Arabidopsis thaliana: one gene and its partners. The protein of the gene in region 3 purifies or fractionates together with the protein of the main gene of each other region. This does not show direct contact. Each region holds a gene or a part of one and is shown on either strand. Other genes may lie near its edges. The genes, in order: AT3G46210, AT1G63210, AT1G60080 and SMU1.

Region 1 (6,688 bases), on a different chromosome or scaffold from region 3:
AAAAATGTCAATTTTTTATGGAAAAGATGATCGTTTAAGGATCAAGCGAGCCACCTCAAGATGCCGGAGAAAGTCATGGTTATATAAAGGGAAAGATGATCCTCTAACTCATCTATTTTTGCAACTTTACCCTCCACCTTCAACAAATGCAAATTAATACTATGAAGTCTAAAATAATATTTATTGTAACCCTTTTTCGCCCTTCTTTTGCTACCATCAATTTTGTAAAATATTGACATATATTATGTTAAATCAAAGCTCTCTTGACGAAGTGTTCAACTCTACCTTCACAATTTTAAATATCTAATATATGTGAACGTAAAAACGTCTACAATATACGTATAAGGGTCATATTGCGTATTATTTTAGACTTCAAAAGATTAATCTGCATTTGTTGGAGATGGAGGGTAAAGTTGCAAAACATAGATGAGTTAGAAACATTTTTTTTGCACAAACCCCTTATATAAATGAATCAAACTCTTATTAAATGAAACCCCTACAAAAATATATTTAAAATGAGAGAGAAGACATGAAGTACTACTAATTAAAAACACACATAGCATAAAGGATTACCAATGAATCTGCCATCCAGACTCCATAGAACACAAGTAATAGATGTTGTTATTTCTTCAGTCAATAGCAAAAATCCACTTAGTTGAAAGCAGAGATTAAGGGCAAAAATAACAAGTCATAAATAGATGTTGTTATTTCTTCAGTCACACCTTGTATATCTCCTTCTAGAAGACTCTGATCTCTTTAGGTGAAACGCACCGTCTTGGACCATCACGTGCACTCATGTGACATAAGACTTGAGACTTGAGACCCTCTGCTTCCAATAGAGGCTTCTTCTTAAGTTTCTTTCAAGTTGGCTCACACTCAATAAATCTCCACCTTGAGACAATCCTTGAAAGACTCTTTATGACTTGTGAGATGTCCATAAGAGAGGGAAAGATGAACCTTAAGCTTTGGTGAAAGTTTAGACATCTCCCATGGCATGAATGACTTCGAAGCCACTTCTTTAAGGACAGAAAAGTCTCACAATGTGACTACAATGCTTGCAGAATCGACTGATGGAATATAGATAAACAAAAGATCAAATGACCAAATTATGTTAAGAGAAACTAAGCTCAGGATTTTGTAAGTTGTGAAGTTTACACACCAAGAAGTAATGCTTAGAATTCTTCCTAAATTTTGTAAAATCCTTTCTGAATTCTATTTTTTTACGAGAAATTTTTGACGAAAATTGTTTTAGCGAGAAAATATTGTCTGAAATTTTTGGTGATGAATTTATGTATTATTTGAATGTTATTTTTGTCCAAAAAACTTTTGAGTGCTATTTTTGTCCAAAAAACTTGAAATGTTGCTATTTGTGGGAATTTCCTATAAACTAACAATCTTTTGTTTTTCTTTCTTTTCTTGCAGTCACTAAAAATAATAATTTAATTCTCTTCAGTTAAAACCCAAAAAACAAAAAAAAAACTAGAAAAGCTTTTCTCCTATATGTAATCGTTTTCTTGAAAATGTATTGTGATCCATGTAAAATTATTTAATTCTTTCAACATAATACATATTTTGTTTGATATGTTCTCTCAAAAATTAATCATATTTTTTCTTATGTGTTTAGGAATAAAATTGTGAAATGAAATTTACTTTTCTGATTTTATAATTGGCCTATTATACGAGAAGCAACACAAAGTGGCAGCAAAGTCATCATTTAGTATTGGAGGTCGGGTTTTGATCCCTTTCAAAAATCGCCTCCTTTCTAGAAATGTTCAAGCCTTGCTACGTACTAAAAATATTCAAAACTGACTTAGAAGGTAAAAAAGAATAGACTATTTTTTATACTTATTTTTTTTTATTTATTGATTTATATCTTTAAATTGTACGTGACATTGTTCAAGCCTTACTATGTTCTAGAAACTGACCACGTGGTTTTGCAGAGTTAGAAGGTAAAAAAGAATAGTCTATTTTTTATACTTAATTTTTTTATTTATTGGTTTATATATTTAAATTGTAGGTGACATTGAAGAATACTTTAATGATAGAATTGAAGGTATTACATCGATAGCAAGTAGTTGTGGAGTATGAGAAGAAGTTGTTTAGATTTTTTTCACTACTTTTTGTATTTCTGTTTTAAATTAGAAACTTTGATGAAACTCTGTTTTGTATAATCGTTTAAATTATTAATGTTTGAGTGGATTTGGGTTTACAAATTTGTTAGAAACTTGGATGAAAATAGAGAATTAAAATATAATTAAGGATAACAAATAAAGTTGTTTATACAAAATATAAATACATGATTATATGTAAAATTCATAATATTAGTATATATGATACTAGTAAATACATATGACACTGAATATAATTTAAATATATCTATATATAGAAACAGAAAATAAATACAATTGAAAATATATCTCTATATAATTCGGATACCCACATGTAGTTCTGGAACACATGTGTTTTTCTGAGTTTTATCCACAAGTCCCAAAACTTTCGGAATTTTTGAATTTGAGTTTTTTATGGGCGGGCTCAATTTAGGTTCGGACTGGGCGGTTTTCTTTTATCCACGGCAACATTTCAGGACAGTATTATATCTCAACTATTCGATGAGTTTAGTTTGGTTCGGTTCGGTTCTTTTCACTTCAGTTCCAGTTCAGTTGTTTCGGTTCCGTAAATTTGTCCGGGCCTTCCTATGATTATTGAACCAGCTTTAATCCAATTTGCAACTATCAGGAGTAATGGAGTATTATTGATCAGAAAGGGGCCAATTTGTTTTCATTACTACTTTCCCCAATATTGTTGAAGCTTGTTGTGCTTATCGTTCATCTCATATGTTGGATAATTGAAATAAATAGCTCATCTGCTCTTGTTATTAGAAATTATACTAGATTTTCTAGTAAATTACAGTATAATCCATGAACATGTTCTTTATAATTGACTCGAATCTGATCCCCACGGGCTGAAAAATTGTCAAGACAAGTGATGAATCAATAGCTCTGACCATGGCTACCATTTGTATTAAAGATACGAGGTTCATCTGTTCACATATCTAATGATACTAGATAATAGGCCACTAGCTTTTGATTTTTGATTAGACACATAGACGACAAGGATTCTATCAAAGCTACAACAGGAGTAATATGAAACCGTTTCAAAATCTCATGCAAACCATTATGAATTTGTGCTTTTACCCAGCCTTGGATGAACTTTGTTGGAAGTTCTTTCTAAAAAATGCAGATAAACTAGCCGTAGCAGCACGGCCGTTCTCTACACACAGGAAATAATCGTCCACTGAAACAAAAAGGCAAGAATTCAGAATTATAGATGATGCAGTGATTGAGAGAAACAAGTTCTTTAAAACATGTCTTACACAAATGAAATGTATGAGCATAATACACCATAGTGAATTCTATTCAAGAAAGGAAAGTTGATCAGTACCTGACATTACTCCATGTGTAATTGATGTGATGATCCCATGCTCTACTGGCTCGCCTTCCGCTACTGATGACCCTTCCGGAAGAACAGAGAGAGTTGTATTTGGAAAGACTAAATAAGCAAAGGCCGTCATTTTCTGTCCATTGCAGTTTCAAGTAAGTATAACCAACACGCAAAAGAAAATATAACAATGGACAACAAGGCTTTTAAATAACCTTTTCTTCAAGCTTGTTTGGATCGAGTACGAGATATCCATTCTCAGCCAGGCAACAGCATATAGCAACTGAAAAAACAAAAAGCTGATGAAACAGTAAGAAGTAACACACAAAGTCAATTAGAGAAGAGTGTAAATGTACCAGCCAGATGCTTCATAGGGATTCCTGCATCGACAAGCGCTGCACATGCTGCATTTATCGCACATGGTAGAAGCTAAACAGAATTGAATCAAGGAAAAAGCAGCAAAAACTGTCTTCTAAAGTAATGCACCAATTATTCCACTAAAACATATTCACACTCCCAGCTCATGGGACTACAAACTTTCACTGCTAAAAACTCTAAAAATACTAAAACCAAGATTGCTTATACTGGATTATATGTGTTTGACACAGTATCAGTAAATGTTTACCAAAAGGCAAGGATCATAAAAAGGATACAGAACCATCATCATGCACAACCTACACAGGAATCAAAGAATGAAAAGTTCAGATACAACTCAAGTTGATAAATCGATATATACAACAATGAAATAGCTACTCACCTGAATTATCACTGAGGTGGTGGTATTTGGATTAACAGTCAAAACACAAATACTCTGTATCGTCCTTTTCAATATCATCTCATACTCCTTTTCAACTTTTCCTATCATTATGCAAAGTAAAAGTCAGTCAGAATCTAAAAACCAAGAATCACCTCTACCGCATACTCAAGCAACAAAACAACATCCAGACATGATTAAACTAAATGCATTTACGAACCAATCTGCCCGGATTTAGGCTTCCATATGACTTCAAAACAAGCCTTCTCAGCATTTTCGTTCTTTTTCGTTCCTGCTTTAGGTCCATAAACCGCAGCTAGAACTTTTGTATCCCCTGAAAATATAAACAAGAAGCATACCCATTAGAAAGTGCTGATATATGTAATCAAACAAACAAAAAACATGGAGATTAAAACAAGTACCTTGTGACCAACTAGCAGAGCCATGAGGACGATGAAGGATATTACGGGAACAAGCAAGAGGTCTCAGCTGATTTGGTGTTCTTCCATCTTCTCTATCAATCTCCATTGCTACAATACTTCTTCACACAAAAGGGTTTCACAAAGTAAGCATCTTTTGTCACAAAATCAAATTCTCAGATTCTATAACTGTGAATTGTTACCACTGAAAACAAAATTTGAACTGCTTCTAGCTCAACAGTAGGTGTATTTTAATGGTTCTGACCAACATCCGAGTAGTTTTTTTGTTAATTGAGACAAAAAAATCGTTCTTTCAATTCTACAATACTCGTTATCTAGCACATAAAAGACGATGTATGAACAAAAGGACACACGAATCAACACAGAGCTAGACTAAGAACCTAATTTTGAGGAAGCTAGAAGCAGAGACGATTCCGTATCAAACAAGAAGACTAACGAAAGAGAGAATACACAGCTACGGAACTGAAAGCTGGAAGAACAACTGAAACCACCAGAGGAGAGAAACTCGAAGAATTAGGGTTTATTTGTTTCAAAACCCTCAATTTCAAATCAATTAGAGTATACCGAAAACAAACCGGTTAATCCGGTTATTCAAACATTGGTTTAACTTTAACCAGTAAACTCAATTGAGGAAAGATACTTAATACGGTGTTTGAACATAATCAATCTTCCGGAGAAGAATTTGTGTATAACTGACGGAAAAAATCCGACGCATCGACGATATCAAATTTTGATCTGAGATTCAAATTCCGGTGATAACGCGAAGAGGAAGATGGATGATGAATTGTTGGAATTGCAGCGTCAGTTCGAGTTCGCTCAACAGGTGAAGTCAAGCGTGAGATTGTCGGATCGAAATGTTGTCGAATTGGTTCAGAAGCTTCAGGAGCTTGGCGTTATTGACTTCGATCTGCTTCATACCGTCACCGGAAAAGAATACATCACTCAGGTACTGATTCTATTTCGTTTCCGGTGTGAATTTAGACTCCAGAAGAATCATCACTGGGTTTCGCATAGAATTCTGGTATCATGATGTGAGTAATGTGTTAATGGAGTGAAAAATTGCTAACTCTTCTTGTTGCATGAGGAATTTAATCGGAAAAAATGAAGTTAAGTTGTTTGATCTTGATTTGTTTCAGGAGCAATTGAGGAATGAAATTACTCGTGAGATCAGTAAATTGGGACGTGTCTCTGTTATTGATCTGGCAGATACGATTGGGGTTGATTTGTATCATGTGGAGAAGCAAGCACAAGATGTGGTGTTGAATGATCCAGGGTTAATGTTAGTTCAGGGAGAAATAATATCACAAAGTTATTGGGATTCGATTGCAGAAGAAATTAATGAGAGGCTTCAAGAGTGTAGCCAAATTGCTGTGGCTGAACTTGCTGGTCAGTTACAGGTTGGCTCTGAGTTGGTGCAATCGGTTTTAGAGCCTCGACTTGGAACTTTGGTAATTGTGCTTCTCCTCTTGAGCTTTCCAGATTGTGTTTAAGTGAATGTGAACTTTTATATTTATGGATTTTTTTTTCAATCTTTTTTAGGTGAAAGCTAGGCTAGAAGGTGGACAGTTATATACACCTGCTTATGTAGAACGTGTGACCGCTATGGTTCGAGGTGCTTCCAGGGGTATATTTGTTCCTTCCAATTTGTCGGCATTGTGGGCACCATTGCAACAGTTGGTACAAGAAACGAATGGAGCCAGTGGAGTTGCTGTTGAGAATTCATTTTTCCAGTCTATATTTAACCGACTGTTGAAGGAAGAGGAGATGCTTGGATCACTACGTGCTGGAACCCATTGGACTCCTAGTGTATGTCATAAAATTCTTATCTTTTGGGTTTCTGCCACGAATGGATTTACCACTCTATTAATTTACGACAGTCTTCAAAATTTCATGAGTGCACTCTTGTCTATGCTTGATGTTTCCCATGTTTACCATTCATTAGAGTAACTTGTTTGATTTTGGTGGCAGGCTTTTGCAACTGCTCAAAAGGAATGCGTAGACTCTTCTTTTTCACAGGTTTGGTCATCATTTTATCTGAAATGTCTTTAGTCCGTTT
Region 2 (8,358 bases), 1.3 Mb from region 3:
AGATGATTTTAATAATTTCAAAACTTTGTGTCAAACTTGATAATTTCAAAAAATTATGATATTGTTACAGTCCTACAGATGTTATATCTTTCCTAATGAGACTTACAAATTAATCTATTAATAAAATTTGATTTATTAAGATTTTTTTCCTCTTCTAGGCTTCTAGCACTGTTTTATGTTTTTTTTTTATGAATGATGAATACTAGTATTGAATAAAAACATAGAAAAAAAAATACTAATGAACAAAAATCAATCCTATGATTTTATACTTTTTATAGATTATTCATAAGGAAAAGCACAATGATTTTGATATACCACCAAATCAAATCTTAATGACAGGATCTCTTAGATAGGCCGTTACATATATTTTCATATATTGCAATGAAAAATAGTAAATGTTAAAACATAAAACTTTACAAATTTGGTCAATTTTTTTTTTTAAATTGTTACAATTCTTAATATTCATAAATTTAGATTGATTAATTATAGTAAGAATAAATGGATGAAAAATTGGCAATTGAAATTAATAAATATTATATTCTGAGAAATAAATTATGTGTATATGTACATATGCTAAAAGGCAACAAAAAAATAATCTAAATTGAATAGTTTTTCAATATATTTTTCTTTTCTTGACTCTAGTTAAAGTTTACATTGAAGTCATTTAAATCTAGCTACAAATCTTAATTTGATCACTTTTCTTGTTCCACCGATTAGGCTTTTTTTTGTTAAAACTTTTTTACATCTTCTTTATAACAATGATATACTACGTTTTACTCTAGTTCTTTTGGACAAACAACCTTCTTTCTGAATATGATTACTGTACAGTAATTTGGGAACCTAAACAGTACTAATTTCTAAAAATTGATCACGTAAGGAAAAGATAAACAAACACAAGAGAGTAGGAAAAAGTAAATTGACTCATGGCGTAATTGAATTGTCAACATAAAAGTCACTGATATAAAGTTAACTATACTAAAGTAGCTCTTGTGCTTGAACCAAACATCAGCAAAAACCATACCTTAAAATCAATCTGCAAAAAAAAAAGTAAGAGAACATCATTAGTTACATAAATGAATCTAAAAACAATCATTTAACCCAAAAGTAACGGAAAAGAAAAACCCATGAAACAAAACAGAGATGTTAGAATTGAAAACAACACTCTGTCCGCAATAAACAAAGCTAACTAATTAAATCTTTCGTCTCTTCACATTTCTTGTGGGATCTTTCACACTTTTGACGAAATTTAAGTTGAATACTTGTATAGTTCTACTAAACAACAGACCTAATTAACGTTCCAAAAACAAAACTATTATTTCCCATATAGGTTTCTTGCAAAGCAAGCAATCAGTCTAAGAAATTCTTTGGGCTAAGGAGTGGAAAAATTCATGAATACATGATAAATAGTACCTTCAAGTTCATTGATTATCGATATGTCTCTTGAAATAAGCAGCCAGTTTATCAAGATCCCCAAACATTCTTTTCCTGAACTTGAATCCCTTAGGGTATAGACCGATGTACTCGTGGTGCGGATTTGCGGATCGTATGTAAGACAATATAAAGCTCCCTGGATGTTCATGAGAAACACCAAAACTGTAAACTACCATTTTCGGATTCACACCCTTCTCAACCCGAAGAAGATCATCTATTTCCGATTTTGTCCCAGTCCGAAATTTCCGGTGGTTTAGCATTGTCATAAGATGAGTTACCAAAGGATCAACATACCGATCCATTACCTGAAATATTGAAAACGCATAAGTATTTTCACTTGTACCAAAACTGAAATTTTGTAAGAATATAAAGACGAACCTCATCTAGATCCTCGAAGGTTTCATTCCCAATTTTCAGTGTTTTCCCAATACGTTGTAAGCTCACTATATCTTTGTTCTCCTTCTCACCTTCGATTATCTCCTTGTTAGCATACACATTATCAGAAATCTTGATCATCAAAGTCAAATGATTCAGTCCTCGTGAGCTTGGACGAACAATGCTTTCTCCAATATTCTTATCAGACAAATACACTGTTGCTTGCTCGGCAGTGATGTTCTGAAACCGAGGATGAACAATCATCCGAGACTTAAACTGCTTCTTTTCTTTAGGAACTTTCTCTTTCTCTATCAGGACACTATTTCGTTTCTCCTCGTGGTAATAATCATCGACATCCCCGAGATTCCTGTGCTTTCTCATTTCGCTTTCTTTGCAGACAAGTAACACATGATACCTTTGCTTTAGAATCGATTTGACCTTGCAAGTAACGATATCGCCTTCACACAGTTTGTTAGACAAATCAACGATATCTCTACCATCATCTGAGTAATCTTCCTTCAAGAGAATCCCAGGTAATCCACAATCTAATACACATTTGGCTTTACCACTTGTCACTTTCTTAACAGTGGCCTGCACAATCCTCCCTTCACCAATAGTTTCTTTGGTTTCACCTGAAATCATATAAAACTCCTCATCTGAATCAACCTCTTTAAACAGACTCCGCCAATCCTGAAATCCACAGCTTAATTCTCTCATGATCAGACTATAAGTTTCCTTCTTATTCTCTTGGTTCTTGCTTCTCAAGTACTCATCAAGAACGATTTTCCTCAAAGAAGCTGGCTCATCTCTCACATGCTCTATCGCCATCTCTATTGCATCATCCTCATCACCTCTTACAGTATCATGAGCATAAACATCTTTCGCCAATTCTTGCGCAAGACCGTATGATTCGGGATGTATTCTAGTGTCATCCAACAGATCAATAAATTGGCTGCTACTACAAGCCAACCCGCTCCTACGAATCCGTAAGAAACCAGCTGCATTTACGAATACCTTTTTACCAATCCCATGATTTATCAGTTCCTTGCGGACAAATATCGAACCAGCTCTAACAAGAGACTTCTGCAAAGATGCAGCTTTCCTAGGACCAAGACCTGAAACAAACTGTAAAGGAGAAAAAAGCCATTCATGGCTCGCAGCCAGATTAATGTCGATTCCAACTTGATTCGTTATGTCAACCATAACTTGTTCAACCATCTCATACTTCTCATCTGGATCAAGAAAATCTTGAAAAGAATGAAGCTTCCAAGACAGAATATCTCTACCTGGACCGCATAAAGTTGAGATCATTGCTAATGGATTCTGGAGATAACGTCCAAGAGAAACTGCGCGTTTCACAATTCCTGCTTGTTGAGGTAGTTGTTCACTTGAGATTCTAGAATTTTCGTATAGCCTAGGAAGAGATTCATCCGCATAAACCAATGGAAAATCATAAATCCTATCATCTACATAATTCAACGGCAGCTCTTCCACCATTTGGAATATAGCCTCATAAATCTCATCCTTCAGGCGTACACAACTCAAATTAACAGCTGCTAAAGCCAAAACATCTGGTTGATGGTCTCTTATAAACTTTAGAAAACGATCTTGATCCATTTTTTTACGTTTCTGGTCATTTACATCCCGAGACCGCAATCCAATGGAACCTGAGTAAAGCACATCAACCAGCTCTCCTGATGAATCAAGCATCACAAATGTAGTTTCTGGATTTCCAGGTCCCCAACAACAAGCTAGGACCCTCGGTGCAGCTTCCTCCTCCGAGGTATTATTATTCCTTCGATATGGCCCTGAAGACACTTTGTTCCATAAAACCTGTCCATACTCTGAAAGCAACTGAGTCTTCGCTCTGCTAGTTAGCAAGGATCTTGCTTCTTTCTCCATTGACGGCAAAACAAAACCATGAACCGCATCCTCCAGTATCAATTTCCTCTGCTCGTTCCAGAGTTGAGCATACTTACTAACACCAACACTTAGATAGTGTTCACTGCATTCACTAATTATCCTATTCATCTGATTCTCAGGCAGCTTGAAAGTTACTTGAAGAAGCTTCTCCTCTTCTGCTTTCTGAATGAGAAGCCATTGTACACCATCAAACTTTCTCAATGGCTTCTCGCTTAACCACTTAACCGCAGAAAACCGATGGAAGGAATCTATAACCACATTCCCATCTGGTGTTGGACTCGTTGAGACTACTGCATTCTCCATAAAAATTCCACGAACATACTTTCTAATCGATGGCTCGCAGCTTATCTCAACCGCAGCCATATGCCTTGCACCTTTAAGAACAGCTTGAGAATCTCCAAACATTGCACACTCATAGTTCAATGCCATCTCCTCTGGTGTTTTCTTTGCATCTTCAAGCTCATCAACAAAAACTTTCTCAAGAGACAACGCTAGTCCCAATTGCTCAGCGCTATAACCAAACTTGTTTGCAAATTCCTTAATCCCAAATTTGCTGCAGATGCTATATTGCGATTTCCTATTCGGCCTCTTGTACTGTCCTTCATCGATCTCACAATGAGGAAAATGCAAGTTGAACTTTGAGTCTACATCATCAACTTCTCTCTCTGTCTCCGCCGCTTGAAGAGACTTAATAACAGATTCAAAAAGACTCTTATTCAGATCAGACATGCAGGTTTCTTCTTCAAAACGTTTGGTATAGTAACCAAACAACGCGGTTTTCCTTTTCCGCAGAAGAACCCACTTTCTATCCAAATCTTGAATCATCCACAAGACTTTATGCCACTTGGTCTCAAGCTTCTTGTCAAGATTGAAATCACTACCATCATGATCATCATCAGAACTGTCCAATAAACTCCGACACTGCTCCTTCCGATACATAGCTATAAACGGTATCTCTAACTTCTGCACATGAAACATCTCTAAAAACTTCACAATGTCATCCTTATTAATCAAACAACCCTGCCCTTGTTCTTGAAGCAATCGAGCATAAATCCAGTTGCTCTCTTCTTGAATGCTCATGTCATCTAGGGAAACAATTCCAATGGCTTCTTCAAATATCTGCATTCTCTCAGGAACATCAAGCTTCCTAATTTCATCATCTTTCTCCGTCATATACTTCTCAGAGAGAACCATTGGTTCAAACTCATCTTCTAACTTTCTTTCGATCTTTTCGTTATACTTCAAATCCTTTTTCCGAAGTTTCAACAATTCTTCAGGATCACCAAATACATCATTAGCGTATCGTAAAGCGTTCGAATCAGTTCCTTGCTTATATTTCATTTTCTTCCTCCTCATTCCTTGAGCACCATGATCATCTTCATCTACAATGAAGTGACTCAAATCATCATCATCATCATCATTATTGATCTTATCCTCTTCCTCTGAAGATTTCTTCAAACGTTTATACTTGTTTCTTTGGAAAGTGTCGTTGTTATCTTTAAGAAGTAGATAATCATCTTCGTGAAGAGTAAAGGATTCGTCTTTCTTCCTTCGACTTCTACTCTTTTTCTCACTACAATGTCTCTGTTCTTCTTCTTCTTCTCCATCATCAGAACCATTCACTAAAAACCCATCGTCAAACTCATACTGATCATCTTCGTCTTCATCATCTTCCTCACGGTTCTCCACTGGATCTTCATGAATCTGGGGCTCTGTCTCAAAAACAGAGTCGAATCGTTAGAAAAATAATAATAACAGAGAATTTAGGGCTTTTGAAAGCAGAGCTTTTTATGTACCTTCGTCGATCCTATTCATGACTAGGTTAGAATATTTAGCTATACGAAATCGATGAAGATGGAGATCAACCCTAGAAACTCTGTGATCGTAAAACTAGTCTCTATTTGATTCTGAATTTTGCGAAGAGAAACAAAGAAAAAGGCTTTTCGTACTTCTAGGGTTCACACCAGCATTAAGAGGCTACTAATTGAAGTTTTGAAGCATTTCTTATTTTTAAAAATATTTATGAAACTCTTTTTTTAGCTGATATTTAATTAATATATTTGGTATTTTTTTCGATTCATTAAGAGATTTATTTTTCATATTCATACAAATTTATATTGATAATTCTTTTTTCCACTAATTTTTTCATTATATAAACTAATGATAAAATATATAGGTGAAATATATTTTTAAAATATTAAACCTATAAAAAACAAAGAAATTCTCGAAAACTAAAGCAGAATCTACCGAAAACACTTAATAAAATTCATAGCACAAAAAACCATAACAATTAAGAATTGCAAAACAAAAAAAAAAAAAAAAAAAAAAAGATCAAGCAAACAACGGAGGATGGGATAATGAATCCTAAGAACTGAAAAAAGTAAAGAAGCAAACCAGACCGACGATCACTTGAATCAATAGAAACCGAGTTTGAGCCAAAGACAAGTGTTTAGAAGAGACTGCTAGATCACTAGAAGCACGAACCAATTAGAAACTCTAGCACAAACAGCACCAAACCGGAAGCAAACGCCAGACTGATCAAAACTACAACGGGCACTCACTCCCCCAACACCAAACCAAATTACTATTGATAATTTCTTATATCACATCTTTTGAAAAAAGGATTTAATTTAAGCCTAGTTATTAAGGCGCTTAACGTTGCCAAAAAAAAGAAATTATTCTATAAAATTAATGATTTTTAATTTAAAGGTTAGGTGTTTCTCTAGACTTAAATTATTTTCTTACACGATAGAATACTTAGAGGTTATTTCTATTTACGAAAAATGAGAAAAAAATGGAAAAACCAAACGGACTGAAATCACATGGAGTTTGTATATGCATTATTAATTCATGAAAAGAAGTGTCTTGAATTTTCAACCATTTTACTTTTGAAAATCACACTCAACAAAATTAGCTTTTGGTATAAGTATTTTTTTTTGTTGAGAAATTCGTGAAGACGTGTCGTTGGGTGGGTTCCAATAGATATTGTTCTAATATTGGCTAAAAGGTGTCCAAAAATAGAGTGATTCTGCAGAATATATTAGTATAATCATCTCCACTGGATAACCAAAAACAATATTGTTTGTTACATCGTTTCTCTTTTGTCATCTTATGCTATCACATGATGATTTTTTAAAAAGTGATGCAAGTTTGTAACCCTCTATGTTCACATGCTACGTACACGCAAATTTTGAAAGCACGGTCATTCAAGAATGCAAAACGTGTTGGTGGTCGAGAAGGCCGTGGACCCGTGGTCATTACAATTACTCAATTAGTGTTTTCTAGTAATTTAGAATGCACATGCACTCCCCCTCTTTACTTCATCTTCTCATCCTTATGTTGTTATTCAGTTTCTCGATTAGCTGTAACACTAATCTCTTCGCTCTCTAAACCACATGACCCAATCCAACCAAAAGGTTGTGGTCTTGTAACCTGGCATTTTAATTTGAAGACTTTTTATCAGAAAAAAAATGCAAAACGTGTTGTCTTCATCAAGAATGCCAGATTACAATTAGTAATCACCTAAATACCTATCATCTTGGACATCAATCAATTTTCTGTTTTATGTTCTCTAACCAATTAATGCCTTGATAATTTGGAGAATTTTTTTTTTTGGTGCAATGCGTTTTTCGTGAATTGGAATCAGACGTTGTCAATTTAAAAAAAAAAAAAAACATCGGAAATCATCTACCGTAGACCATTATAAATTAAATATATTTGGAAAATTCTGTATGAAAATTTAAATGCATTATTTATCCGAAACAAATAGTGAGCACATGTTAATTATATTGTTGAAGAAGACCTCTTATGGAAGTTGAATTTCTCTTGTCTAATTGTTAAACTATGATTATATCCAAAAGATATCTAAGATTATGACATCATCTTTTATCTACCACTTGTTCATACCTATGAATCACTCTTTGAATTCCTTAAAACTCTTCATAATATATTGTAGTAAATAAATAGAAAGGTGAAATACTCCTTTGTAAAGTTTTTTTTTTCTTTTTCTTTTGGCATCGATATTTAATTGACCCTTAGTTAATTTCTAGTTTTGACATCCCTCATGTCTCCAACGCACTCCAGAGACCATAGTTAAAGAAACATAGAATAATAACCAATTTCAAAATCATTCTAGAATATAAGAAACAAAAACAGGATTTTGCTACAAATCTATGATCAATCCAAAAGCTGGCTATATATTATACGGAAACAATTACTTTTGCGGATTAGTATAGGTGAACATCGGTGAAGCTTAGTCCGAATGTATCCCAAGACATGATATCTTAGAGCGCCACATGTACTCTAGTATAAGTGAACAATTCTACCATAAACTATGAACACTAATTTAGCTCACTGCTCACCAAGAAAACCACATTGGATATCGCATAAGGTCCTATGCCAAGCTGCAAAAATCATGAACATAAGAGAACAGATTAAAAGAGATTCGAGAGTATATTAACATAAAGGAAGAGATGAATCAAAAGTAAACGACGGGTTTACCTTTTATGTGTCTTGGAAGATCCAACGCATTTGACTGACAAAACAATCAAATTTTACCGTTACAAAAGAGAGTCATATATGCAGAGGATGATCCAAAAGAGAAAGAATTATACAAATGCACACCGTAAT
Region 3 (7,030 bases):
GTTCTTAATCTTCAGTTTTCTTCTCTTTGTACGATGCTTCCTTTTCGGTGATCGATGCATTGACTTGTTCCTTTTGTCCAGAGATGACAACTACTATAATGGTTTGAAAAACTTAGGGTTGAAAAATTAGGGTTAAAAAAAAAAACTAGTGGATCGACGCCAATGGATAGAGTAGAGGAAGAGGCGGAAGATAGGGAAGTAAGTATACAATCTAAAGAAGATGAGAGTTTTTGTAAGTTTCTCGAGATGATTCCTCTTGATCTAATTCCTGATATACTCTTGAGACTTCCTGCTAAATCTGCTGCGAGGTTCCACTGGGTCTCTTAGCTATGGTCATCAATCACCACTCATCCAGATTTCATCAGGTCGTTCGCGAGTCAGTCTTCAACTAGGTTGTGTCTTTTGGTCTGCGTGAAAACAAGTGACAAGCGTATTTTCTGCGCAATGCCCCAACATGAAAATCCGGACAGATCATGTTATCCACATGTGGAGCGTTATCTGAAAGACACTCTCATATTTGATTATCACGAATGGTCCCAGTCGGTCCATGGCTTGATATGTTTGGGAGATTCTTGGGGCATATTGTAGTTTGGAATCCAATCATGAGACAACATGTTACCTTACCAAAAGTCGCATTTGAATGTAGCTCTTTAGGATATGATCCGGTCGAGGGTAAGTATAAAGTCTTGTGCATCTCATGCTCTAGATACCAAGATCCTCTTGTTTTTACTTTGGGACCTCAAGAATCATGGAGAGTGACACAAAATACCCCTAAACATGTCCCTCTATCCGCCGAGGGACTAATACAAAGTATATGTATCAACGGGGAAGTGTATTATGAAGCGAGTATACCTTTTGGAGTCGATGATAGTTCTGAAGTTGAGAAAGTCCTTATGAGCTTCGATGTGAGGTACGAAAAGTTCAACACAATAAGAAAATCAGCGGCTGATAATTTACTTTGCAAATTTTTCCTCAACTACGAAGGAAAATTTGCATGGGTTTGCTCTGACGACGTCTCTGGTAAATGATTTTGGGTTTTGGAGGATGAAGAGAAACAAGAACGGTCACTTAGAAAATTTCCTCAACGTGACCCGATCTGGAAAGTTTCTTGGGGGCTGAGAGGTATTACTCATGATCCACTGGTGAGTTTATTTATACAGCTGCAACAACATCTGAAGCAATTTATGTCTTATATTATGATCCAAAAAGAACCCTAGTAAGGAGGGTCAAATATGATTATATGAAGGAATTGGTGACGAAGAATTCTGGAAGCTTAATCATAAAAATGTAAGAGAGGTCCGCTATTATCATAATCACACTGAGAGTCTCATGTCTTTGGAGGAAGTTCCTCGCTTAGCATATGATTCTTCCACAGATTCAGAATGATTTTATGTTATTTAGTATTTAATTAGTCTCTCGAGGACTTTCCTCGTCTAGTATGGAATATTTCTTTCACAGATTCAGAATGGTTCTTGTTACAATGCCTCTTTTAAATGGAATAATATTTTAACATACCCTTACATTATAACATAAAAAAATTCAGAAAAGCCTAATCAAAAACAAACTTGCGATGGTGGTCAACAAACAAACTTGTTAATTGCTTTTGATTTGAACATTTGTAAAATTAATCAGCTTACGCACATTTCGGTTCGTTTGAAATGGAGATAATATAATCTCACACTTACACTAGCACTAAATTAAAGTCGTTATATGACAAACAAAACCGTAACACAATCGAACAAAAATGGTGAAGAGCTTCTTCCTTTGCCTCTAAATGGGTAACTTGGTGATCTGATTAAAATATGTAACACAAAATTTCAACAATGTTATGGAATCGTTCCATCTGATAAATTAGTCGATATCCATCTCTCCCAATATCTGCTTAAGCTCCTTTGCTCTCTTCCTTGCTAACTCGACACAGCTCTGCGCATAGCAACTTTATAAGAAACAAAAAACGGTGTAAATCAAGTGGTGGATTAACCTAAGAGAAAGCTAAAACTCTCACCTTGATGGCTGATGAATAGGCGAGAGCAGCTCCTCCTGATTTGTAGAAAGAAACCATTTGATCCGAGGAATCCAAAACAACAGTCACAAGAGTGTCCATGATCGATTCTTCTTCGGTTGTTGGATCTGCTAAGATGTAGTTCTTGTGAAGTATGCAAGTTAAAGAGAAAGGAATGTTCTTAAGCGTAAGTTTTCTCTTCTCCTTGTTCACTGCTTCTTTCTCGGTGATCAAAGCATTGTCTTGATCTTTTTCTCCAGTGACGGCAACTATTCTTCCATTGTCATTCAGAGCAACAATTGGAATTTGCACTGCAATATAAAAGATATTTTATGCATCAGAGGAAAAATTCTTCTGTCTCGGAACACCAATCACACAACTTCTGAACAAACCGCTATTGTGCAGGGAAGAATATTACTCAGGTATGACTCACTCAGCAAGATTTAAGTGTTCTCTAAGGCTTGCTCTTTTTACTCATATTCGAAATGGATTTGATAAACTTGAGAATCAGCTTTATTCAAAGGTTCTCTAAAGGAGCTGTGAAACCAACTAAAGGATGAGAACAGAGAAGAACTTACGATTGGAGAAGGCTGCGACAGCAGCAAGCAGAGCAGCATCAAAGAGAGCACCATCAGCATCCAGGCAATATATGTCCTATGAGAAATTTCAGAGAGCAACAATGTTCATATATATGCTAGAGAACTCAGTTAAATATCAAAGAGAAAGATCCCTAGAAGAATAGATGTGAATCAACTGACGGACAAGCACCGATATAAGACCAACGAGTACTCACCAGATAACCCATCCAAGCAGCTTTTCCACTAACTAGACACAGTTCTTTAAGATCAATCATACCAGAACTAGAACAAAAAAGAAACACTTTTAGAAGGAACATTGTATTTGATGCTCAATGAGACAGAGAAAATATAAAGAGAAAGATCAAACCAAAACACACCTTAAAATAGTATCAGACAAACGCTTTGAAATAACGGGAGCAGCTTCGGCTGGTCTTCCAGGACGAACAGTCGGAGAACAAATTGGAGGCATATGGAACTCAATAGCTACCAAAAAGGAATCACAAAATGAATCACCAAAGAAGAACAACAAACCACATAGAGAACAAGACAACGAGATAACAACCTATGCATCCTTCGTCTGGAGAGTCCGTAGAAGGAGTCATAACTTCCATTCTAATAGCAGCAAGCATAGTCTATAAACACGAAACAACTATGTAAGCAAAACATTGCTGATCATGTGAATACTATCGAAACGACTAAGGCGGGTTCTTACAGTGGAACCAATCTTAGCAAGAGCAGACCCATCAGCAGTTGAAACAAGTCCTACAACAAACACAAGAAACCACTATAAAGTTGACATTTTTAATTTGATAAAAACTAAAAAGAATCAATCTTCATTGTTTATACCAAGATTAACAATGGTGTCTCTAGCTTTTCCAAGTTGTCTTCCATCAGGACGAAGAGATTCAGAGAGATGACGCTCAAAGAAACGAAGAGGGAAGATTCTTCTAAAAGCATCAACTTCCATCTCTGTCGACAAGTCTTGAGCTGCATCTGGTATTCCCATGTTTTCTTTAGCTCTGCTTCATGTCACAAAGATAAAGAGAATCATAAACCAAAAGTCTCTGAGTCTGTGCTTCATCAACACAGTCTCAAGGAATCACAAAGCTTACCTTGGGACAAAAGAAAGAACTGCCTTTGGTACACGAAACTGTTGTAGTGAAGAGGAAACACAAGCAATAGAGTGTAAGAAGAAGATTGAGAGCTCGCGGTGTCGTAAGTAATGGGGATTTCGACGGAGACGGTGACGGTGACGACGGCTAGGTTTATCTGAGTTTTTAACTAAAGTACTTCTTCATTCTAAATGGGCCCCAAACAAAGCCCAATAATGTTGCGAAGCCCAAAGAAATGCGAAATAAGAGATTTGTTTGCTTCACAAGACATGAGTATATTGAAATTTGGGTTTTCAATTAGATGAATTTGGCGAAAATATGAGGCGCACTTGATTATGAGCTGAATTTGGGAAAATGTTTAGTGTAAATTGTAAAATATGAAGAAGAAGAAATGGCGTCAAAATGAACATTATACATTCTTGTTTTATATCCAATTTTGTTAATCCTCCATACATTACTTAATGGTGTTTAATTATAAGTTAAGAAATTTCTCTTTTACTATATATATCGTTATAAGTATTCGTAGAAAATTTCAATTCAAAACATCGTTATAAGTATTCGTATATTGAAATTTGCAACAATCAACAGAAAAACTTATCGTTATTCCGTTTTTTTCACATCTATTTTAAAATTTTAAGATAATGTATGTTTAATATTTTATGCTTTGTAATAATTATTAAGTTTTATGAAATAAAATATTTTTTTCTTTATAAGAGGACCAAATATTTTTACTTTAATACCTCAAAAGTTATTATATCATAGTCCATACTATTAACAAAAATTTAGGAATACCCAAAAAAAATTGAAATGTAACAAAAAGTCCAAAAATATTTTTTTGGCCCAAAAGCCCTCATATATGTGGGGCTGGGGCTGCATAGCCGCATGGTTTTCCGGTCCCCTAGTTTCTTTCGTTATTTGGGTTGGTCAGACCTGGGCTCCGATCCAGCGTAATCTGTTTCTTATCATAGTAAATAAAGACCATAATTCATTTCAACACACTTCCCAATATGTTTCTTATCTAAATTGCATCATCATTAATGTCTACGTCACAACTATATCTAGCGGGTACGCAAATGGCTACTGGACTTACTTATTCTAACATGGAACGAAGAAAAGAGTGTGTGTGTGTGTGAGAAATGGAACAGATTTTGGCTCTGTTTGCCATTTTTCTTGCTTTTGCTTTCTCCGGGAAATGCAGCGACGTTTTCAGCAGATCTGACTACCCTGAGGGATTCGTCTTTGGAGCCGGCACTTCTGCTTATCAGGTTTGGAACCAATTTATGAGCTTCTTTTTTCTTAACTTTTGAACAAAACTGAACCAAATGTTTGGTCTCTACTAGTGGGAAGGAGCTGCTGCAGAAGACGGAAGGAAACCTAGCCTGTGGGACACTCTTTGTCACTCTCGTAAGCTTTTCATTTTAACACAAACTATTATTAGTATTAGAGTTTGTCACTCTTGTGCTTTGATTCTTGTTTCTAACATTGCAGGTGACCAAGGTAACGGAGATATAGCATGTGATGGGTATCACAAGTACAAGGTTCTTTAGCTTCTCTGTTTCTCTGACTACATCATGAGGTTTTATTCATCAAGCCTGAGTTTCATTATGAATTTATACAGGATGATGTGAAGTTGATGGTGGACACTAACTTAGATGCTTTCAGATTCTCCATCTCTTGGTCTAGGCTAATACCTAGTAAGTTTTCTTAAACATGTTATAGCTCAGTGAAGGGATCAAATTTATGATCAGTTCGTAATTTATTATCTGATTAGATGGAAGAGGGCCTGTTAACCAAAAGGGTCTACAGTTCTACAAGAACCTCATCCAAGAGTTAGTAAGCCACGGTAAGACCTATCTTCATATCCACGGTAGGACTCAAGAGTTAGGTTTAGTTCGTATTAACTAGAGTTTAAGTAGACTTACTACAGGAATTGAACCACATGTTACACTCTACCACTATGATCATCCTCAGTCTCTGGAGGATGAATATGGAGGATGGCTCAACCACAGAATGATGTAGGCGTTACTTATTTTCTCTTACAGATTTTGTAGTTTAAGATAAAATAACAAAAGTTGATGTTATTTGCCATTGCAGCAAAGACTTTACTACTTATGCAGATGTTTGCTTCAGAGAGTTTGGGAACCATGTCAAACTATGGACCACGATCAACGAGGCTAATATATTCTCTATAGGAGGTTACAACGATGGGGATACACCGCCTGGTCGTTGTTCCAAACCGAGCAAAAACTGTTCTTCAGGGAACTCTTCCATTGAACCATATATTGTAGGCCATAATTTGTTGCTTGCGCACGCCTCTGTTTCAAGACGATACAAACAAAAATACAAGGTATATATTACATAACCCTCTCTTGAATGTGTGAGAAGAAACACACTATAAAGTATATATAATATGCAGGATAAGCAGGGAGGTTCCATAGGATTTAGCTTATTCATATTAGGGCTTATTCCTACTACAAGCTCCAAGGATGATGCCACTGCAACCCAAAGAGCCCAAGATTTCTACGTCGGCTGGTGAGTCAGGCACAAACTGTTCCAAAATATTGTTCAACATATCTCAATAAAAAAGATTTACTCTTTAAAACTCAGGTTCCTTAGACCTCTTTTATTTGGAGACTATCCTGATACAATGAAAAGAACCATTGGATCAAGACTGCCAGTTTTCTCTGAGAAAGAATCAGAACAAGTTAAAGGCTCATGTGACTTTGTAGGAGTCATACACTATCATGCGGCTTCTGTCACTAACATCAAATCCAAACCTTCTCTGTCCGGAAACCCGGATTTCTACTCATACATGGGTGTATCTTTTCATTGTATGAATCAAACTCAATCTTTTAAATAACAAAACAAGATTTTTTCTCTTTTATGATATCTTGTTTTTGCTAATCATCTCTTCTTCTTTCTTTCTTGGGAGAGACAGATTTTGGAAAAAGTTTAGATTTTCAGGTAGGAGTTTTGAGGCTAAGATTTCTTTAGTCTTGATAGAGAATAGTGTTACTAAGTTGTTTTGTTTTTGTTTAAACAAGTATGCTAATACTCCATGGGCTATGGAAGTTGTGCTGGAGTATATAAAGCAGAGCTATGGAAATCCTCCTGTCTACATTCTTGAGAGTGGTCTCTCGCTCGCTCGCTCTCTATCTCTCTCTTTTTTTATCCTCAGCTAAATTCACTTTCCAATGGCAACAAATAGGTACACCGATGAAGCAAGATTCGCAGCTGAAACAGAAGGATATACCAAGGGTGGAATACTTGCATGCCTACATTGGTGGTGTGCTCAAATCCATAAGGTAAGTAAAGTTCCTTATTGCTTCTTCTCTTCA
Region 4 (9,570 bases), 5.6 Mb from region 3:
AGAGCTTGGTGGAAAGAGAAAGTGAAGTTTGATAAGAACGGTCCTGCTGCTATTGCTAAATACGAAGAGGAGTGTTTAGCGTTTGGGAAATCTGATGGGAATAGGAATTCACAGTTTGTTCTCCAGGATTTGCAAGATGCTACTTTAGGGTCTTTGTTATCTTCTTTGATGCAACATTGTGATCCTCCTCAAAGGAAGTATCCGTTGGAGAAAGGGACGCCTCCGCCTTGGTGGCCAACGGGGAATGAAGAATGGTGGGTGAAACTCGGTCTGCCTAAAAGCCAGAGTCCTCCTTACCGAAAACCTCATGATCTCAAGAAGATGTGGAAGGTTGGAGTTTTAACGGCAGTGATCAATCATATGTTACCTGATATTGCAAAGATTAAGAGGCATGTTCGTCAGTCGAAATGTTTACAGGACAAGATGACAGCTAAAGAGAGTGCGATTTGGTTGGCGGTTTTGAACCAAGAGGAATCTTTGATTCAGCAGCCTAGCAGTGACAATGGAAACTCCAATGTGACTGAGACACATCGTAGGGGTAATAACGCTGACAGGAGGAAACCTGTGGTCAACAGTGACAGTGACTATGATGTTGATGGGACAGAGGAAGCTTCAGGTTCAGTTTCATCTAAAGACAGTAGAAGAAATCAGATTCAAAAAGAACAACCAACAGCCATCTCACATTCAGTAAGAGATCAAGATAAAGCAGAGAAACATCGCAGAAGGAAAAGACCTCGAATTAGATCCGGAACTGTCAATCGACAAGAGGAAGAACAACCTGAAGCTCAACAAAGAAACATCTTACCTGATATGAATCATGTTGATGCCCCTCTGCTAGAATATAACATCAACGGTACTCATCAAGAGGACGATGTTGTCGACCCAAATATTGCCTTAGGACCAGAGGATAATGGTCTGGAACTAGTGGTTCCTGAGTTCAATAACAACTATACTTATCTTCCACTTGTTAATGAACAAACTATGATGCCTGTAGACGAAAGGCCAATGCTTTATGGACCAAACCCTAACCAAGAGCTTCAATTTGGGTCAGGGTACAACTTCTACAATCCCTCTGCAGTGTTTGTACATAACCAGGAAGACGACATTCTCCATACACAGATAGAAATGAATACACAAGCACCACCTCACAACAGTGGGTTCGAGGAGGCCCCAGGAGGAGTACTTCAACCCCTTGGTTTACTCGGAAATGAAGACGGTGTAACAGGGAGTGAGTTGCCTCAGTATCAGAGTGGCATTCTGTCTCCATTGACTGACTTGGACTTTGACTATGGTGGTTTTGGTGATGATTTCTCATGGTTTGGAGCTTAGTGTCTTGCCATTTTTTTTGGGAGATTACATAGTAAGTTTTTTTTTTATTACACAACACCATCTCATATATTTGATCTTAGTTTATAGATTTGATGTATTTTGTTTTACTGTTATTTTTGTAGGTTCAAAAGGACATGGCAATAGTCTGGCTAGTACAGTTACTTTCTCTTCTTCATTTCTTCTGATCTTATATTCTTCCTCTTTTTTTCTTATAATATTTTCTTAGATTTGTTAAGAGAAACAATTTTCCTTTTGAATAAGTTGCCAGAAGAACTGCTTTGCCCGTTGTAATGGTCTCTAGGGAAAGCAGTTAGCGTATCATCATTTGTAAATTTACCTGTGAGTAATTCATCAAGTTAAGAGAATCATTATTTGTTTCTTTTGAACTTCCCAAGTTTTCATTTTTTTTTATATATTTTTGAGCTTGACTTTATTCTTTCCTAAGACTAAAAAGTATATGGGAGTTGACTGGCTGGGAAGGTCAAAGAGGAAGGAGACACGTTGTTAAATAAACTACTACAAGGCTCAAGGCCAGGTGAAACGGTCTTAAAATCTGAAATGCTGGTTTTAGAGTCTGTGGGTAGTGTTCCCAAAATGGCTGAGATCTTTGCAAAGATGGTTTCACATTACACTAGTTCTAACCCGAGAAGAGTGCAAATCAAATAAAGACAGACTAATCATACAGAAAACAAGACTTGATGATGAGAAAACTCAGGGCTTCCATAACTTCATAGTGCAATCTTCACTATAGGTAGCAAGGAGGTTTCTATGCGGGTGGTGTGTTATACCAATCACATCCTTCTCATGCACCTGTCATAAGCATAAACTATTCAGAAACCAGGTCTAATAAAAGACAACTAAGATAAGTATTAAGAGAGAGAGAGAGAGGATGATAATCTGAGCTCTAAAATGGAGAACAGATGAATCAAACATTATAACACACAAGGGACTTCATTACTCTAGTGAGTTACTGTTATGTGTTTGTCTCAAATGCAACTTTCAAATTTCCAACATCCAAAATCTTTTGGAGCATGTCTGTTACGGATATAAACTTACCATCATGAAATGCTCAAGTCCACCAGATTGATAGTTGAAGCAGTACAGTTTCCTGTAGGTGCAAACACCATTACGAACATCAAAGGCAGAAGATGAAACCCGAAAAGAAAGGAACCATAAGATTATCCTTTGAAATCAAACTCGTGGAACTTATCCAAAAATAAAACGATAGATATAGGAGGTTAGAGTGTTACTTGTCTTCGCCGATGCAGTATATCCAATCTCCTTTTGTAGATACACATGCTGCTACAAAATCTCCTCCTTCCCTATTACCGGATGAGAAACTCTTCACAACCTGCAAAAGGATTCCAATATAGAAGCATGTGAACAATCTTAGTTTTGGCATGACAATGACACTGATTTGCAGGAGACCGTTGCTGGAAATTTACCTGTCCTTGGAGTGTCATAATGTATATAGATGATGTCTTGTTGCACACAACAATGTGTTCTGTGTTTTTGGGGAACAAGTGAATAGAGTTGACTGATGCATCAGTTCCCTATATTTCAAAATTCAGACTTGGTAACCAAAGAGTTTGCCACAGAAGATCAGAAAAAGTATTACAAGATGTACATAAATCTGTATAAGAAAAGATACCCTTAACGGAGGTGGCGGCTTGAATGTTTGTAGACAATCTGTCGTCTTAGAATCCCAGACCTGTGCAAGGAAACAAGACTGTTATTACACGGCAGAAGGGGCAGAGAGTCCAAATGAGAAACAATGATACTGCTGACAGCCAAAGCCGAAGAATTTACCTTTACTGTACAATCACTGGAGGCAGTGATAATACGGCTTCCATCACTTGTAAAGATGGCATGATTTACATAAGATGTGTGACCACGAAATTCTTTCAACAATTTCCCAGATTTCAAACCATGGATTCTGCATAAAATAAAGCAAAATATATAATAAGAATTTGATATTATATTCGACTAGAAGCTCTACCAATAAACTTACATAACTACCAAATGAAAAGGAAAATATTAACAAAAACAAGAAGAAAAAAGATGCAATCAAAAGTTAAAAGAATATTCTACCATCAAAGAAATATAAAGCCTCAAGTTTTTGATAGGACGAGATTCATATCGCAAGTACAAAATAAAAAAATAAAGATATAACTAATAAAACCTTGCAGTTTGGTCAAAGGAGGTACTCAGTAATTGGCTTCCATCCCGAGAGAAGGAAAGACTTGTAACTCCTTGGGAATGTGCATCAAAACGACGTATGCATACACCAGTCCTTATACGCCAGATCTGCAAAAGTGACATGCATCTAAGTCTAGTTTTTCTATTTGTATTCAATCAGAATACATATGGGACCAATGAGAGGAAGAAGATATATCTACCAAACTGCCGCAATAGTCTATCTTCAGACAAAAAATTCAACTTTAAGGAAACATATGCAGCTGGAACTTACTTTAATCTTTCCATCTTGTGACCCAGATGCAAGCATCTCTGAATCTCTGCTAAAGTCTATGCAGAGGACAGGATCATCATGCATCATGAAAGATTCCTGTCAGAAATTAATCATAGTAAGTAAAGAGGATGGAATGGGAACTCTTTATCCAAAACTGATATTTTGTATACCAGGAAGTCTCAGACGAGATACTTGGTGCTTTAGGAGTTACATTGGAGAAAAAATTAAAATTCAAAGATAACAGTAATCCACCATATACTTGGTGCTTCAGGAATCTCATGGGCGACATTTTTGGAATAAAAAGCAAAAAGTAATCCACCATATCATTCTCACAGACTTGTCACACGTTCAATAATCAGATGCAGTAAGGATTATTTTCATTTGATTAAAATGTACTAACAGCTCATCTGACCCCGTACTGAGTTAGAATTAAAAAATGAAAAGAAGACATGAGAGCTTACATCAGCTTGATATTGCAAATCCTTCTTGAGCTTTCCACTTATGTAATCCCATACCTGTAATGCTTTTCAAGTCTGAGCAATCCTAGTCACAGAATTATTTTAAAGACTAATAACTTGTATTATCATACATACAGATTCCGGATCAACTCACCTCGATAAAACCATCCACAGAAGAAGATGCAAGAAACTGTCCATCTGGTGAGAATCTAGCGCATTCTGCATGACTCTTTTTACCAAACTGCACCAGCACCAGCACAAGGAAAAAGATATGAAAATTAGACAAGAACTCAACTGATGAGAAAACCCAAAATAATCATGAGCAACAGATCATAGACCACTAAGCTAAAGAAGCTATTAAAGTGTGAATATGAACCTTTATGGTATGAGTAAGAACATTAGGATGTGTGTCTTCTACATCTTGCTTCATAGCTGCCGTCCCACGAAAGAGGTCAAACTGTGTTCCTGGAGGGAGCAGGCCTGACACAAGTGTATGTAAATTTTAGGAAATGAGAGAGGGTACATATGTTGATTCCATTGATATATTAGTAATGTAGGCAAAAAAGTAAAAGAAAACGAGATGAAGTTTGACAGAACTGTTTGGTAGCATCCACAGTTCCTTAGATAATCACCTTGATGTTGTTGCCACTTTAAAGCCTGACCTATCAAAGCCATTAACCGTGAAGGTGGTACCACGGTAACCTCGGCAGCCACAGCTGATCGAGTAGGAGAACAAACAATTAGTGAACCTTGAGTACATACTGAGCAAGAGAAAACAAAAACTCTATAACCATTAAACAGGAAATAAGTTCTCGTCATAACTTCTTTTCATGTCATAATAATATTTAAGCATGCAATAGAGAGAGTATTCCAGAACATCACTTGGTTCCTTCAGGTAATTAATCATACAATAACTGAAGAAAATTGTTATTGTAGAAAATAAAGAAGAAATGGCCAACCTTGAGCAATCTGTGCCCGTTTTCTTTCTTTAGTTGAGTCTCCATAAGCCTTAGAAACAAAGGTAAAATTAGCAAACCATGATTATCACAAGGAAATGATTACATGAAAAACGCCACTCTTTGTGCATAACATGAACAATGACTAGGAGACAATACACCTCAAAAGACTAATCAGATAGAAAAGTCAAATCCATCAACATGTAAAAGAGCTAGTAACATGTAAAGATACTTTTGTACTCAGAAATACGAGCATGTGTTATACTTTGAGACCCTCATCTAGAAACAACTTCATGTTTAACCGCTCACTGGTTCTACTTAAGATTTTGAAAGATATCAAAAGTCGCAAGTAGAGTACAGAAAATGCAAGAGATAACAGATATAGCAACATTGTTTGAACTGTTGAACAGTTGCGGACAACCATGCTTAGGTGACACAGCAACAACAAAAGCAACACCCAACGTGATATTGAATAGTCGAGCATAATATAGTTTCCATACCTCATGCGGATCAAAATAGCTTCTGACTAGAAGATGCTCCATCCGCAAATATCTTTCTGCTTGCTCCTGCTTCATGACACCCATCACCTGAGTTTGTCTCAAAATAGCTCGGGCAGTGTCCAACTCTCGAAGTTCTATCATCTCCAATACAATCTGAAAAAATCACCCCGAAAATAAACAAAACTTACAATGACAATCACTATTTTTATACACTTCTACATTTCACAGAGTAAAAGAACAAACCTGTTCATAAAGGTCTTCAAGTTTATTCCTGGGAAGTTTAAGCTGGGAAACTTGAGGTAGTACCGAGTCCCATCTTCCACTATTAATATCAGAAATAAACGTCTCGACGCTGTCTACTGTATTCAAGGAAACCTGACACTCGCTTTGTAATGTCTGGAATGTCTGATTCAAGGAATTTTCTTTGCAGAACTGAAGCATAATCTTTATTACACTGAGACATTCAACACAATAGAGAGCTATTAGGGATGAAGATCTACACAAAGCTGACATATAGCATCAAAACGTTCTCCATCCAATATTACTAACAAAATGGCTAATAATACTGTCAATGGTTTCAATCCAAGCCGAGAATTAACAAGAGTTCAAATTTATACAAATTGGATTTTTCCTCGAGACGCATTGCAAAGAATCAAAACACTCTAACGATGATCTCCCTCAAATTTTCGTATACGACGTTAATTTAAACGAAGAATAGCTACGGAGGAATCTAGATATTCAGAAGCAATTAGCTTTAGAAGAACCAAGCTAAAACAAATTATGGGTAGATTTAAAAACCACAACTTTAGTATGGAGGATATAAAAAAACCAACATTCAAGATGTTTTCTCCAAACATGTAACCTAAGATCCATCTGAGCATTCGTAAACGATGGTTCTTGGAGCACAATTCATATCAGTGACACTAAACGAAAACTAGGGTTTGTAAGAGAAAGCGAAATCTTACTCTCGAGCTTCGATTTCGAGCGCCATACTCAGTCGTAGTGGGTTTTCGCCGGAGACGCTAAGAGGTAAAAATGCAGCAGAAAACACACGCGAAGGAGTTTCAATTTGGTTTTAATTCCAGGACAATGCCTCAAATATCAAATATTATGGGTCAAAATTAAACTTTCAGAAACTCCGAGTGTTATTTTGTAAATTTAAAATTGCAAAACATTGCTTACATACCATTTAGCTTTAGCTTCACACCCTTTTTTTTTACAACTTTTAGAGAAAGACAAAGACAACAATAAACACATTGACACTGTGGTCTTCAAGAGTTCTCCACTGGTTCGTTCCACTCCTCTGTTCTTCAACTCTAGAGCTCCATCATCATCTTCATTGCTCACTACTATTACTTTCTTGAGATCAATAACTGATATACTTTGACTGAAGCTGAGAGACTCTTTGTTCCGAATGGAAGGAATTTGCTGGCTACTCTGTTTCATATCTTCCATGTTGATATTCATCACCAGTAACTGACAAGATTCCAAATTGGAATCAATTCCAGAACATCTGGCTCTTTTCATGGGCTTTGATGCTATACAATTGAAAATAAGAGCAAGCAAGACAGGAGAAAGATGTTCAATCCAGAGACCAAAACCAACAGAAGACCAACCCGATGATGCAAATCAATCTATTGTTGTAAGGAGCGTATGCTAATTCCTCTACCAAAACCATAGCCAAAGGTGCTCGCTTTTATAGATTTGACCCTGTGGAACCTTTTTTTTTCTTTCTATAACAGTTTTAAGATACACATTTCTTTACCAGAGATCAATCTGAGGCTTAAGTATGCATATTTCCTTTGGCTTCTGTGAAACTGTACAGTCCATTTCCACTAAATCCTATATTCTACAATATTTCTTACATACATCTGTGGCTACACTTCAAAATGCCTCGTCTTCTTCAGAATTTTCCTCTTCATCGTCTTCTTCTTCTTCTCCAGATCTTGAACTACACTCCCTTTCAGCTTCAAAAGCAATGCTCATCTCTTTCTTCACCACATCAGCCAAGTCCTGTCTGTTTGCACTCACATAAGCATCTCTAACTGCTTTAAACAACGATTGGCTTGGTTCAAGCTCCCCAAACGTCAGCCGGCTATGTACCCTCTTCACACCTTCCACCATTCCCGCTTTCCCGTATATCCCAACAAGGTAGGCTTGCGTGACAATATCTGGTTCTAGACCTTTTTCCTGCATTCTCATGTATGCCTTTAGGGCCATGTCAATGTCTCCTGATGCACTATAAGTGTATATCACTGCGTTGTATGCAAAATGCTCGCGAGGAATTTCACCACTTGTGAGCTCTTGGCATGATTCCAGCGCATATGCATACAAACCCATGGCTGAGAACAGAGTTGCAGTGATTGCTGGTGTTGCCAGTGGTTTAGCTTCATTGTATGCGGTTTGTAGCTGCGACACAGCTTCACTTGGCACCCCACCTTTCTTCAAGAGCGTGAAGAGCGTTTTAAATGTTCCCCAATCCAGCAAGAGCTTTCTTTCAACTAACATCTCATGAAACAGTTCACAGCATTCACTTAACTGCCCATCAGCAGCGTAGCAAGCCATAACCTGATTAAATGAAGTGCAGTCACTTAGTAGACCAGACTCTCTCATTTCTTCAGCCACTTCAATAGCCTCGTCGAGCATGCCCATGCCCTTGTACAAGTACATCATTGTTGCAAACGAAATAACATCACATGTGCCTTTTTCTCTGAGAGCATTGAAAATGGATTCTGCTTCAGAAACTATGCCAAGATCTGCACACAGACTTAGCATGCTGTTTGATGCAGCAACATCTGGGCCACCTTCTGAATCCTTCATTTTGTCATACACTCTCCTAGCTTCTTCAAGACACCCCACTTTGCTATAAGCCTTGATAAGGGAAGTCAGAACGATATGATTGGACTGAACGCCATGTTCTTCCATCATTCTAAAGTATTGAATCGCTTCTTCGACCATTCCACTCTCAGCAAACCCATTAATTAAGGAACCATAAACAACTTCATTCGGTTTCACCCCTGTTTTTTCCATTGCCTCGTACAGGTCAACTGCATCAGACAACAGGCCAAGCCGCACATAGCTAGCTATCATAGCAGCATAGGTCTTGCATCCAGGTTTACAGCCCGAATCCAGCATTTCAGCCAAGATCCGCTGGGCTTCGTCCACTAAATCAACCCCAGCAAGCATCTGGAATAGGGAATTGTAAGTGCACTCATCAGGCCAAGTCCCTTGGTTCTTCATCCCTTTGAAGAGAGAAAGTGCTTTCTCATGAAGTTTGGCCTTACCATAAGCCTTGATCATGACATTGTACTCCAAAACATCATTCCTCTGGCCTGACATGTTTCTTTTCCCATAGAACACAGTCTCCGCTTCAACCCACAGTCCCTTTTCAGCATAGACATCAATAACTGCTGCAAGTGTCGTTGACGAAAGCACACAATCCAACTGGAACCTCTCAAACAGAGCTTTTGCCTGTACGACTAAACCTTCATTGACATACATCTGCATAATAACAGGAACAGAGTGCTCATCAATGCGAATGCTATTTCTGTCCATCTCAGCTATCACAGCTTCAACTTCTGCAACCATTTTCCGCTGACACAAGATATGAAGAACAGCTCGATGAGTTACAGTATCAGGAAAAAGTCCTACTTTCCTAATTTTCCTATAGTACTCAAGAGCTGCCTCAATGTCCCCAGCATCAGCATGAAGAGACAAAAGGATATTATATGTCTTAGTATCAGGGGATATCCCTTTCTCTTCCATCTTCTTCAACAAGGATTCAGCCTCTGACAAATGCCCATGAGTTCCACAAGTATGTATCATCGTGTTAAACGTTACAGTATCTATAGGTACTC

The links.
Region 1: the proteins of AT1G60080 (region 3) and AT3G46210 fractionate together in Arabidopsis thaliana (co-fractionation; one large-scale study listed by BioGRID). This does not show direct contact.
Region 2: the proteins of AT1G60080 (region 3) and AT1G63210 fractionate together in Arabidopsis thaliana (co-fractionation; one large-scale study listed by BioGRID). This does not show direct contact.
Region 4: the proteins of AT1G60080 (region 3) and SMU1 fractionate together in Arabidopsis thaliana (co-fractionation; one large-scale study listed by BioGRID). This does not show direct contact.

What each region holds. Positions count from the first base shown.
Region 1 is NC_003074.8:16,973,770-16,980,457, forward strand, and holds AT3G46210 (Ribosomal protein S5 domain 2-like superfamily protein), read right to left. Parts: upstream 5,148-6,688; 5' UTR 5,096-5,147; exon of another isoform or gene 4,815-5,095; intron 4,734-4,814; exon of another isoform or gene 4,731-4,733; 5' UTR 4,721-4,730; coding exon 4,615-4,720; intron 4,527-4,614; coding exon 4,413-4,526; intron 4,297-4,412; coding exon 4,196-4,296; intron 4,113-4,195; coding exon 4,092-4,112; intron 3,868-4,091; coding exon 3,795-3,867; intron 3,722-3,794; coding exon 3,654-3,721; intron 3,575-3,653; coding exon 3,442-3,574; intron 3,295-3,441; coding exon 3,191-3,294; 3' UTR 2,862-3,190; downstream 1-2,861. Other genes in the region: AT3G46220 (E3 UFM1-protein ligase-like protein), read left to right, coding at 5,405-5,578, 5,769-6,080, 6,172-6,438, 6,601-6,648. UniProt on the Arabidopsis thaliana protein: Probable component of the exosome 3'->5' exoribonuclease complex, a complex that degrades inherently unstable mRNAs containing AU-rich elements (AREs) within their 3'-untranslated regions.
Region 2 is NC_003070.9:23,440,415-23,448,772, reverse strand, and holds AT1G63210 (Transcription elongation factor Spt6), read right to left. Parts: upstream 5,086-8,358; coding exon 1,810-5,085; intron 1,737-1,809; coding exon 1,419-1,736; downstream 1-1,418. Other genes in the region: AT1G63206 (Cystatin/monellin superfamily protein), read right to left, coding at 8,123-8,132, 8,230-8,263. UniProt on the Arabidopsis thaliana protein: Transcription elongation factor that enhances the transcription elongation by RNA polymerase II (RNAPII).
Region 3 is NC_003070.9:22,150,754-22,157,783, forward strand, and holds AT1G60080 (3'-5'-exoribonuclease family protein), read right to left. Parts: upstream 3,891-7,030; 5' UTR 3,693-3,890; intron 3,600-3,692; 5' UTR 3,587-3,599; coding exon 3,427-3,586; intron 3,343-3,426; coding exon 3,293-3,342; intron 3,213-3,292; coding exon 3,143-3,212; intron 3,064-3,142; coding exon 2,958-3,063; intron 2,863-2,957; coding exon 2,796-2,862; intron 2,657-2,795; coding exon 2,581-2,656; intron 2,314-2,580; coding exon 2,006-2,313; intron 1,924-2,005; coding exon 1,852-1,923; 3' UTR 1,477-1,851; downstream 1-1,476. Other genes in the region: BGLU4 (beta glucosidase 4), read left to right, coding at 4,829-4,957, 5,033-5,096, 5,181-5,230, 5,311-5,386, 5,464-5,535, 5,620-5,707, 5,787-6,039, 6,109-6,224 and 4 more.
Region 4 is NC_003070.9:27,722,193-27,731,762, reverse strand, and holds SMU1 (transducin family protein / WD-40 repeat family protein), read right to left. Parts: upstream 6,773-9,570; 5' UTR 6,705-6,772; coding exon 6,679-6,704; intron 6,168-6,678; coding exon 5,957-6,167; intron 5,867-5,956; coding exon 5,714-5,866; intron 5,266-5,713; coding exon 5,217-5,265; intron 4,974-5,216; coding exon 4,890-4,973; intron 4,738-4,889; coding exon 4,634-4,737; intron 4,499-4,633; coding exon 4,412-4,498; intron 4,315-4,411; coding exon 4,261-4,314; intron 3,896-4,260; coding exon 3,800-3,895; intron 3,637-3,799; coding exon 3,512-3,636; intron 3,266-3,511; coding exon 3,139-3,265; intron 3,041-3,138; coding exon 2,981-3,040; intron 2,883-2,980; coding exon 2,775-2,882; intron 2,681-2,774; coding exon 2,580-2,680; intron 2,438-2,579; coding exon 2,386-2,437; intron 2,140-2,385; coding exon 2,041-2,139; 3' UTR 1,732-2,040; downstream 1-1,731. Other genes in the region: EIL3 (ETHYLENE-INSENSITIVE3-like 3), read left to right, coding at 1-1,329; AT1G73710 (Pentatricopeptide repeat (PPR) superfamily protein), read right to left, coding at 7,598-9,570. UniProt on the Arabidopsis thaliana protein: Auxiliary spliceosomal protein involved in splicing of specific pre-mRNAs that affect multiple aspects of development. Required for proper accumulation of SMU2.